3 linked regions of the Kluyveromyces lactis genome follow. The main gene of each other region encodes a partner of the protein of the gene in region 3 in a complex. Links are inferred from orthologs where the notes say so. Each region holds a gene or a part of one and is shown on either strand. Other genes may lie near its edges. The genes, in order: DPB4, ISW2 and KLLA0_B02090g.

The links.
Region 1: KLLA0_B02090g (region 3) and DPB4 share a complex: the UniProt entries of both Saccharomyces cerevisiae proteins name them as parts of the ISW2 complex. The link is inferred for Kluyveromyces lactis from reciprocal best matches to the Saccharomyces cerevisiae genes ITC1 and DPB4.
Region 2: KLLA0_B02090g (region 3) and ISW2 share a complex: the UniProt entries of both Saccharomyces cerevisiae proteins name them as parts of the ISW2 complex. The link is inferred for Kluyveromyces lactis from reciprocal best matches to the Saccharomyces cerevisiae genes ITC1 and ISW2.

The regions. Positions count from the first base shown.
Region 1 is NC_006042.1:1,797,538-1,800,064, reverse strand, and holds DPB4 (DNA polymerase epsilon noncatalytic subunit), read right to left. Parts: upstream 1,252-2,527; coding exon 601-1,251; downstream 1-600. Other genes in the region: NYV1 (Nyv1p), read left to right, coding at 1-494; TRM1 (tRNA (guanine26-N2)-dimethyltransferase), read left to right, coding at 1,823-2,527. UniProt on the Saccharomyces cerevisiae protein: As accessory component of the DNA polymerase epsilon (DNA polymerase II) participates in chromosomal DNA replication.
Region 2 is NC_006042.1:2,310,154-2,314,411, forward strand, and holds the start of ISW2 (DNA translocase), read right to left. Parts: upstream 2,878-4,258; coding exon 1-2,877. Other genes in the region: KLLA0_F24860g (uncharacterized protein), read right to left, coding at 3,560-4,258. UniProt on the Saccharomyces cerevisiae protein: Catalytic component of the ISW2 complex, which acts in remodeling the chromatin by catalyzing an ATP-dependent alteration in the structure of nucleosomal DNA.
Region 3 is NC_006038.1:182,408-186,556, reverse strand, and holds the start of KLLA0_B02090g (uncharacterized protein), read right to left. Parts: upstream 2,840-4,149; coding exon 1-2,839. Other genes in the region: GTPase BMS1, read left to right, coding at 3,561-4,149. UniProt on the Saccharomyces cerevisiae protein: Functions as a component of the ISW2 complex, which acts in remodeling the chromatin by catalyzing an ATP-dependent alteration in the structure of nucleosomal DNA.

The sequences.
Region 1 (2,527 bases), on a different chromosome or scaffold from region 3:
AGACGTCTATCGACCTTATAGAGGGGTATGATTGCTATTATACAACTGCAGAGAACAATAAAGTGCTCATTTGTTTTGTTAAAGAAGAAGTCCCCAAATTCCTACCGTTGAGGTTATTATCAGAACTAAAATGTTTGAATAATGACAACGATGAATATTTGAAGAGTAATATCGATAATCAATTGGACAAATTCCATGAAGAATTATTATCTTATCGCACGGAAGGACAGCAGACAGCTGCATCCACTGAGGAAGAGCTACAAAACATTATTGCAATAATGAATGATAATATCGATAAGTTTTTACAGAGACAGGAAAGGATATCCCTGCTTGTGGATAATACTAATCAATTGAACGAAAATAGTTTTAAATTTCAAAGGAAATCCTCTAAGATTATGAGAAAAATGTGGTGGAATAACGTTAAGTTTTATTCCATTGTCATTATAGTTGTACTGGCGATTATTGTGATTGTGTCGTTATTATTACTACATTAGTTCTATTTTTTTTAAGTATAGGTAACCCATGAGCACACGAAAACGGTATAATTGTTTATAGTACTTATACTTCTTGCCACCTCTTCTCCACAAATCGATTATACGATCATTCCGTCTTCTGTTTTTTTGTGCTTAAATCCAGGTCGTTCTGGCGCGTGCTAGGTACTTGTTCTTGGTTGACTGGAGGCCCATCTAATTTATCATTTTCAGCGTTACCTTGTTGAACCTCAGTATCAGCTCTGGATTTAGGCTCGGCGTCAGCATCTGCGCCTTCTCTGCCATCGTCATCTTCATCATCTTCATCATCTTCCATTGCTATGTCTCCGTCCGCACCAGGCACAGCATTATTGACTTTATTTTGCTTCTTCCAAAGTATGGCTTCCTGGTACTCCTGCATCTTTCCCGTGAGTATGCTCTCCAAAGCACCTAGCCCCAACGTATCTAAAGCAGCCATGATATCCTGATCATTACAACTCTTTCTATTAGAATCCTTTGCGTTCATTCTAGCAAACATTAATAAGTGATTGACAAAGACTGTCGCTGACCTCTGCATTGCCAATGCAGCATCCTTACTAACCGTGATTCTTCTCTCTTCTTCGCCCTTTTGAAACGCGTTCTGAAGTGATTCCTTCGCTAGAGATGTGATTATGCTTTTAGGAAATAGTAAATCATCAATACTGATCTTTTCTTGTTCTTTTATATAAGACGTATTAGGATAATTTCCTTCAGAATCCTTTCTCCAACCTTTTGGTGGCATACCCGCGCTTGTTTGCCTCTTAGAGTTTTGTGAATTCTTTCATTTGATGGTTCTTATTTTCTTGAATCATTAGTGGTAATAAATCTTAATGCAAACGCACAAATTTCACTATAAGCATAATGATATTACTTCCACCAAGAGAACAGTAATGAAAGCTAAAAAAAAGTAGATAGAAGTAGTAACAGCTAATAGTCTGCTTCGAACTAGTCATCATATCCTCGATTAATATCGATACTGAACCATGTGTACCATATGCATTTCGTCTTGAGGTACTTAATCGTACGTGCCAAATAAACAATAGAAAGATTAAATCACGTGACATAGATTCCCATACTTTTTACATCTTTACAGCCTAGTTTCCAACTTTTCAATTTTTTCAGTCATGGGCATCGCATCTCATCACATCTCTTCTCGCAGAAATCAACTTAAGATAAGATATATAGCTTGATCCTCAGGCCTAGTAAATAATCGCTGAGGTGTGTGTCAAAGGCCAAGTAAGCGTTTTCAGCTGGTTTGTTTTAGGAGGGAAAGCAAAACCATATAAAGAAAAGTAAGAATTTAAACTTGCAATATGCTCAGGGCTGCCTTTCAAAGTTTGAAGTCAAAATTTGGCAGAAAAGTAACGTTGGATAGCTCAACGATCGATGTTTCTCAGTTCAAGGTGGTGCAAGAGGGTGATGCTAAGATATTATTTCCTAACAAGGAAACTGTGTTCTATAATCCAATCCAGCAGTTCAATAGAGATTTGAGTGTCACTTGTATCAAAGCATGGGATGAACTGTATCAAGAGGAACAACGTGAAAGCCGTGAACTGAAGAGCAAGAACAAGAAAAGGAAACCCATAGAGAGCAATGAAGATGGTTCCGATTACGATACTATCAAAAGGCGTAAATTAAACGAAGATCAAGACTCTGTAGCTGTGTCTTCAAAAGATCATTCTACCAGGCCGTACATCAAAATTTTGGAAGCATTGAGTGCAACCGGGCTACGTGCTATAAGATATTCTAAGGAGGTTCCTAATGTGAAGACTATTGTAGCCAACGATTTACTACCAGAGGCAGTGGAATCCATAAAGAGAAATGTCATCTATAATGAGGTCTCGGATAAAGTTGTACCCAATTTGGATGATGCAAATGTGCTGATGTACAGAAACAAAAGCAAAAATGAGAAATACCATGTAATTGATTTGGATCCATATGGTACCGTTACTCCTTTCGTCGATGCATCAATGCAATCCATCGAAGATGGTGGATTGATGCTGGTTACATGTACAGAT
Region 2 (4,258 bases), on a different chromosome or scaffold from region 3:
TAAAAATATATCTTCTAATGAATTGTAAGTTCTTCTGGTATTGTTGGGAGGATATAATATTTTCAATTCTACTAAGGGATACTGATATTGCTGAAGCTTCTGCTTCAAAATTGTTTCCTGTATCTTTAGCTTTTCAGTCTTCTTTTCACCAGCTTCGATGTTTGCGACATACTTCTCCCATCCTTGGACTTCCTTGTAGCGTTTCCAAAACGTTTCAGAGTACCTCTGAACTTCCTCTGGCGTTTTCGTATGAATTGCTTTGGATATTGAAACATAATTGTCTCTACCAAATTTTATGCATGCACTGATGAAGGCTAAAAATTCACGTTTATTCCAATTATAGAAAGATTCTTCCAGGAATCTTTGCTTTTGTTCCAAATTTTCATCAGTGAATTCTTCAGCAGCGTCAATTTTTGCTTGCTCTTCAGCAATCTTAGCGTCAATATCATCTTCTTGTTTTTGTGCATTGTTAGTATCATCTGATTCTCCGTCCGATCTGGAATCCTCTTCGTCATCATCGTCACCCTCACTTTCATCTGCGTGTTCTTTAACATCATATGCGGTGATTTTGTATCCGACACTTTTCTTATACCAAAGTTGTTCTAGCTCCTGTAGCCGGACAAATTCTGGATGTGCAAACTGATAATAAGTCATACGAATAACTTTAGGTTGTTTTGGTAATTTCAGAGCTGGGGTGTTGCTTCCTGAAGGTTTGCTCTTTCCATTACCTATAACTTCTCTATAATAATCATCCACTGAATACAGAGGCTGTTCTCGTCTACGCTCTCTTTTAGGCGGATTGATCCAATCAACAGTATGATCATCTGGCTTCTTCTTCTCAAAATTTGTTCCATTCCATTCGTAAGCGGATTGATCAGCCATACCATTGAACTTTTGTAGGTCATCGAGACCAAGAGATTCATATTTTGCATTAAGTTCCAATGTCTTTCTCTCACCCTTTTTCAAAATTTCATCAATGTCTTCATCAACAGTTATATTACCAGAGCCATGCTGAAGCATATCTCTTGCTCCAAATTGTATCATATCAATTAGGTCATCTTTGTTGTTCGTCAGCGCCGAAGTCTTCTTTCCTGTACCCTGCTGAATTACCAACTGGTCTAATCTAAGTTTTTGAGCAGCCCTCTCTATCACTTTCTCTTCAATTGCATTTTCGGTGACGAATCTATACACAAACACCTGTTTTTTTTGACCAATCCTATGAGCACGATCCATGGCTTGTAAATCGGCCTGTGGATTCCAATCGGAATCATAGAGTACAACAGTATCGGCTGTCACTAAGTTAATACCCAATCCTCCAGCACGAGTAGTAAGTAAAAAAATAAATTTTTCCGAATTTGGTTTATTATACTCATCAATAGCTTCAACTCTTTCATCATGCGAAGTTGAGCCATCAATTCTGCAGTATTCATATCCCCTGAAATAACAGTAATCTTCTAAAATATCTAGCAACCGTGACATTTGTGAAAATATAAGGACTCTCGAGCCTTGTTCCTTTTTCTTTTTTAGCAATTTATCAAGTACAATCATTTTTCCCGAATTGAAGACTAAATGTTCATCTGTAGTATAAGGAGGGCCAGGTTCTGCTCCTTCGAAAAGGTATGGATGATTGCAACACTTTCTCAACTGCATAACAATATTTAATAATCTTGTTTTACCTTCTCGCTTACCGACGGCTCCATTTACGGCATCGATGTCTTTCTCCAATAGTGATTTGTACCATTCTATTTGCATGTCCGTCATCCCTACGTATAGATTAATCTCTTTCTTCGGAAGTAATGATTTTTCGACCTCAGATTTCACTCTTCTAAGTAAAAAAGGTTGTAAAACCGAATGAAGTTGCTGAACAACAACCTCTTGATCTTCTTCCTTTCCGTTTTGTTGGAACCATTCATCAAATACTTCTGAGTCACCAAAGACATCAGGTAGTAAGAAATTCAAAAGAGCCCAAAGTTCATGCAAATTGTTCTGTAGAGGTGTACCAGTGATTAAGAGACGATTTTTGGAGTAAAACAGTCTTATCACCTGTGACAAGGCGCTCTGTTCATTCTTAATTCGATGAGCTTCGTCGATTAGAATATATTCCCATGCAAATCTTTTAAGTGTTAACTTCTCTTTCAATACCATCTCATAAGAGGTAATTAGCACGTCAAAGTTACATGTTAAAATCTTAGTTTCAATGAGTTCTTTTCTGAAATCCTTGTCACCTTGAAGAATGACTGTTTTGACTTCAGGAGTCCATTTGGCAAACTCTCTTTGCCAGTTATCTAGTGTGGATTTAGGTACAATCACAATATATGGCCCCTCGATACCTTTAATATACCGAAGATAACCTAGGAACGATATTGATTGCAACGTTTTACCAAGTCCCATTTCATCAGCCAAAATCCCAGAAAGCTTGCTTTCATGTAGAGAAATCAACCAATTCAGACCGTAAACTTGATAATCTCTTAATTTCCCTTCCTTTATGAAACTCGGTGATTGTGTCAAAATTGTTGTATCCTCTTCTAACTCAACTTCCTCATCCTCCATCAATTCAGCATCTTCTTCTTGTTCTGTCTTTCTATAGTGCCTTGGAGCCCTAGCGAGATGACCGGCTGGCTCTTTCAACGTTCCAGCAACTTTGTTTTCAGCATCTATGGTCTTCAGTAATTTTTGCATGTTTTTATCATATTTGGCTCTGATCCCAATAAAGTGTCTGAAAAGATCAGTAATTTGCAAAAGGTGCTTGAAGCGAATATAAGTGTCTTCTTTATTCCTTTGTTTAGCTATTTTCGGATCAACATCAAGTAAGAACTTAGATCTTCTTTCGGACCAGTACTTCTCATCATGTTGATTATTGCTAACAGGATTCTCCATTTTTGTAGCAGATTTCTATGAGTATTTTTAGATAAAGGTGGTTAGTATCTTATGCAGAGGTCCGCCCAAGTGTGAAGTTGTTATGTGCTTCTAGTGATTACTGTCATCCTAATACGTTGATAAACTCAACGGGGAGAAGCACCGAAGTTCATGACAGATATTATCAGTAACCATTGAAGTACAGTTGAACATAAAGACATTTAGCATACCTCTTCCTCAACCATTGTAGGCAATGTTGATCGATGATGATAGGATGGCAACAGAGAATTCGATATCCATAGGTTTCTTAGTGGAGTGTGGATAGTCACAACTCATTATTTTTTGGAAATTTACATTTTTTCAAATCGCTAGGACAACAAACCGCGTGGAAAATGATGATAATACATGATCTCAGAACGGACATACCTCAGAGTAGTCTCATTGACTTTAAAGAACAAAGCGTGGCAGAATGTGATTAGCCTTGCATCTACCATTAGTACAAAGCGCAGAATAAGTAGAACATGACCATTTAATATTTACACGATTAAGTTGATATAGATATACATAACTTGTAAGATCACATATGTGATCAAGAACGATATCAAGCGCATACTGATTAAGTGGTTCAGCTGCCTTTTTTAGTACCGATTGTTGCTCTGAATTATACCACTTAGCGAGATTTGGTATGCTCTATAACATGTATTTAGGATTGTCTATTTGGATTTGTGCAACTTCTTCTTCGATTGTTACTCGTATTGGATGTCTGATCATGCTTTTCAGGTTGATTTGTCGATATTTTGGATGTGTTATTTCCACGCATAGATTTATCCGCTGATTTACTTTTGCGTTTACCATTAGATTGTATCGAAGAAGATTTTTTAAGGGAACCAGGCTTCGAAGATGGGATTCCGGTCTCCATTCCCATTAGCATCTCCGACGCCGCTTGTTGGGCTTGTATCCTTTGTGATTCTTCATTCCACCACTTCAAAAATTTTGCTTCCTCCAAAGCTTCCTGAATAGATTTTGTTGGTGTGGGTGTCGTTTCCTTAGCGACCCAGGATAAGTTACTCTTGGTAGAGGCATATAATGGCATAGTTTGCTTCGTACCGTCACCCGAAATTGCGACCATACCTGTTGGCTTTTTCCCGTTTTTCACAGCTTCATGCAACGTTGGAAATTTGGTCGAAGCTGGCTTTACACCTGAAAGATTTTTTACCTCCGAAGATACAGTCACTTTTGTTGATTGTTTGTTTGTTAACGGGGACTTCCTCATATGTTGGCCCCAAACTTTAGTCTTGTCTTCATTTGGCTTCTCCTGGAATTTGGCTTCCTCAGCCATCCGTTTAATTTTCTCTTTTTGAGTTTCCTTCTTTATTTTTATCTTGACGGTACTATTTGACTT
Region 3 (4,149 bases):
ACTCATCTCTGTCGTCCACTGTATCATCTACACTTAATTCGTTATCCGCTATTTCCAAAGCCGCAATCTCTTTCAGTAACAATTCTCTTTTTTCAGTAACTTCGTCTTGAACTTGAGTCTTATATTGATTTAATGTCTCTATCACCGGCTCCATAACTGATTGCAACTGTTTCAGTGTTTCATGTTCTCGTTTTCCCCAGCTGTCCCACCAATTAGTCATCGAAATGAGTTGTTCAGGATCTTGCAAGAATATCCAGTCATTAGGAGTAAACAAAAGACCTTCCGGTGTCTCATCAATAATTTTTCTTTGAAGTGGCGAAAGTTCAATGAACGTATTGAAAACACCTTCTTCATTTATCAACATGATATCTCCCTCTTTATCGTAGTGGAAATAACAACCTTTCTCATCGCGATAAACATGGAAAACCTGTTTGGTGGCTTGAATTTTACCCAATTCGTTAGCTAAAGAAATCCATTGATTGTACTCTTCTTCCGTTATCTTGAAGTAGTATAGCACAGCTTCTTTGACAGGTCCTTGGATCCACAATCTATTGCTTAATAAGTGTGAAGCCTTCGAGAATATGTTCGGCCTAGGAACTCCGCAATATTCTAACCAGTAGATTTTGTTACCATATCTATCATATCCCAAGGGTTTTAGTCTTTGAAGATCAGCTTCAATCAACCTAGCATCAAAAAAGCTTTTCCTCCTTTGGAACCGTTCCAGTTGATCTGTTGCTTTTTTTAGGTTTTCTTTCAGTTCGATATTATCATTACTGCTCTCAGATTGTTGCAACTCAGAAACTGTAAATTGTTCTTTTAGTCCAGCAACAGTATTAGAACATGCTTTAAGATCCCTATTCAATCTAAACCTCTCACTTCTAATTTGGTTACAAAGTTCCATTGAATCATCCATTGCAGATCTTATTATTGATGAGTAGTTGCTCAATATTTCAACTAATATCCACATAATGTTAACTTTCTCCTCAACAGAAATATCTTTGCAAAACTTTCTCCATAAGTACCTATTCAAGGAAATATTTGACGGGGTGTGCTCAGACGGCACCAGATTTTTGATGAAGCCTTGAATTGTCGATTTATACATTGGTAAATGCATGAAGTCTTGGAGAACACCTAAGAGAACTATCAACCAGAAACCATTGTTAAATTGCCTCTTAGAAAGCCTGTCTGTCCATTTTACTTTTCGATAGTTTAAACACTTCTCTAATAACGATTCAAGATCAGCACTAACTTCGTCGTTTTCTTCCATCTCTAAATCTTCATTTTCACTCGAATTTTCGTCCGTGTCCTCCTCAAGCCACTCCGAAGGGACTAATGTCGTCCAATCCCCACTGGTGTCTATGAACAACCTTAACAGTGAACAAAAACACTCCACTATCAAGGAAGTACCTGTTATTTTCAACTCGTCCAAATAGTCATCATTTATCATAGTGTCCAAGGACAAGGTGAACTTCATTTTTTCTGAATTTGAAGAGTCAATATATTTATATATCGATTCATTCCAGATATTAATTCTTTCCACCTTAGTACCCGTACCGTCCTCATAACTAATCGTTACGTACTCGTCCATCATTTGGCGCGGATCAGTAAATCTCAAAGAATTTACAAAATCATCCCAACTAAATTCCGAAAGTTGAAGGGTCGCATTAAATGCCATTAAAAACTGATAACAATGAAGGAGTTTACCAATATCATGCGCAAATGGTTTATCGAGAGAATTTGAGATTGGCACATACTCCTTAGAGTATTTTAAAAGTGCATCGTTGATAGCTGAAGGCCTTGGTGCCATGAAAGGTATTTCCAAATCTTCAGTGATTTGCGTTATGCTTTGTTGATCGCCATTGGTTATTTGATTATTGTCGTTACTGGTATGGTCAACCGAAGGTGAGGATTCAGATATCAGTTCTTCAGTTTTTATTCTTTTCTGATCTGGTGTTTCTGTTCTAGCAATTTCAATTTCTCGTTTATGCTCACCAATGGCTGCCGAAGCTTCTCTTTCTCGATTAAGTTCCGCCATGTGTTGAAGTTGTTGCAAATACTGCGGATCTACGTAATCTTCCTTGTATTTTAGCATACTTTCTGGCCACGTTAAGGTTAAATTATAGATGGGCAAATATTCATCTTTCACACACCATGGGGCACCCATCTTAGTTGAAGCACGACGCAACGTTATCTTACAGAAACATTTAATCAAATGCTTAGTGAAACATGATCTATCACGATAAATCTGATCCTCATCGGCAACGATTGAAGTACTACCTTGTGCTTCCTGTAACATATATTTTGCATGGGCAGGAACCAATTCTTGCCTTGTATCTCTATCTATAACTGCATTAAACTGAGCCTTTTCTTTGATAATGTAAATTTTTTGATGCTGTGATCCATGTGAGTGCTGATGATGTTTTTCAGCATCGTCATGTGAGGAATCTTGCTTACTTTTCCGTAGGTATACCGTTTCTCCAGGGAAATAGTCGTTTTTAAATCTTGCATATACCTGTTCGACGAGCATATCTAGCCTTCTAATCTCGTTGAAATGGATGAATTTTGCAACAGGTTCACGTAATTTTAAAGGGAACATTTTCTCAACGTATTGGAACTGCTCTTCTTCACTGTTCAACGCTTCAAAAAAAGTTAAACATGATGTACCAGTGATCTCACAGGTGAAATAATGTCGCCTATAAAAATCCAATCGTTGCAAAAACTCTGCATAAGTCAAAAACCATTCCCCTGTCTCTTGAATGTACCATATTTTCCTATTGATATTTGACGGTAATGGCCTAGCATCTGGCAACGTTATCGTTTTCCTTTTATACAAAACCATTGCTCACACTGTGTATTCTATCCAAAAAATAAAAAGCTCAACAAGGAAACACACACCACTGAAGACTCTGTTATCCTAGCTTTCCTGCTTCAACTCAGTAAAAATTACACGCACACAGATTGGAAAGAATAAGAACAGTATGTGTTTTCTATGACCAAAAGATGTTGTCTCGTATCCACAACAATATAACTGGTGTAGAACGTACAGTTCTTGTTGTGAAATCCAAATCACCACACAAACGAACTAAAGATAAAAAACACAACAACTTTTAGGGAAACGAATGAAACAAACGACTTTTATTCGGAATCCAACCGTTGATTCATTGACCTTTGTTCTATCCTGTTCTGTTTGTGCATTTGATTGGATTTCGATTTCATTTTGATGTTCGAATTTCGATGAACGCTTTTTTTTCCATATGCCCTTGGGCCCTAGTTACTACGGCAGAGACATGTAGGAATATCTACAAAACTGACAGAATACCTTAAATTCTTAAAAATCAGATCACGTGCAGAATCACGTGATTAGATATCGACAAGGTTCAGATCATTTCTTTTTCTTACCCTGCATGAAAAATTGCATGAAGAAGCTCAACCATCTCATCTCATCTCATCGGTGAACATAAAAGATTCTAGTATCTTGAATTGAATCAAAAGGGTCACTTTAGGCCAGTTAGTTCGAATCACATTGCCTGAATACATCTTAAGACTCTCAAGCTTCAGCAATGGAACAATCGAATAAAGAACATAGGAAGCGGAAGGAGAAGGCTGGTGCCAAGAAGAAGTTACATTCTCAGGGCCACAATGCTAAGGCCTTTGCTGTCTCCGCTCCGGGGAAAATGGCTAAGCAGATGCAACGTACGGGTGATAAGAATGAGAAGAAGTTGCATGTTCCGATGGTGGATCGTACCCCAGATGATGATCCTCCTCCGATCATTATTGCTGTTGTTGGTCCTCCAGGTACCGGTAAGACTACTTTGATCAAATCGTTAGTGAGAAGGTTGACAAAGACCACTTTATCCGAAATTAACGGTCCTATTACTGTTGTTTCTGGTAAGCGTAGAAGGCTGACTTTTATCGAATGTCCTGCGGATGATTTGAATTCCATGATCGATATTTCAAAAGTGGCCGATTTGGTGCTTTTGATGATGGATGGTAATTTCGGGTTTGAAATGGAGACCATGGAATTCTTGAATTTGGCTCAACATCATGGTATGCCTCGTGTACTAGGTGTCGCTACACATTTGGATCTTTTCAAATCCCAGTCAACATTGCGTGCCTCTAAGAAATCTTTGAAACATAGGTTCTGGACCG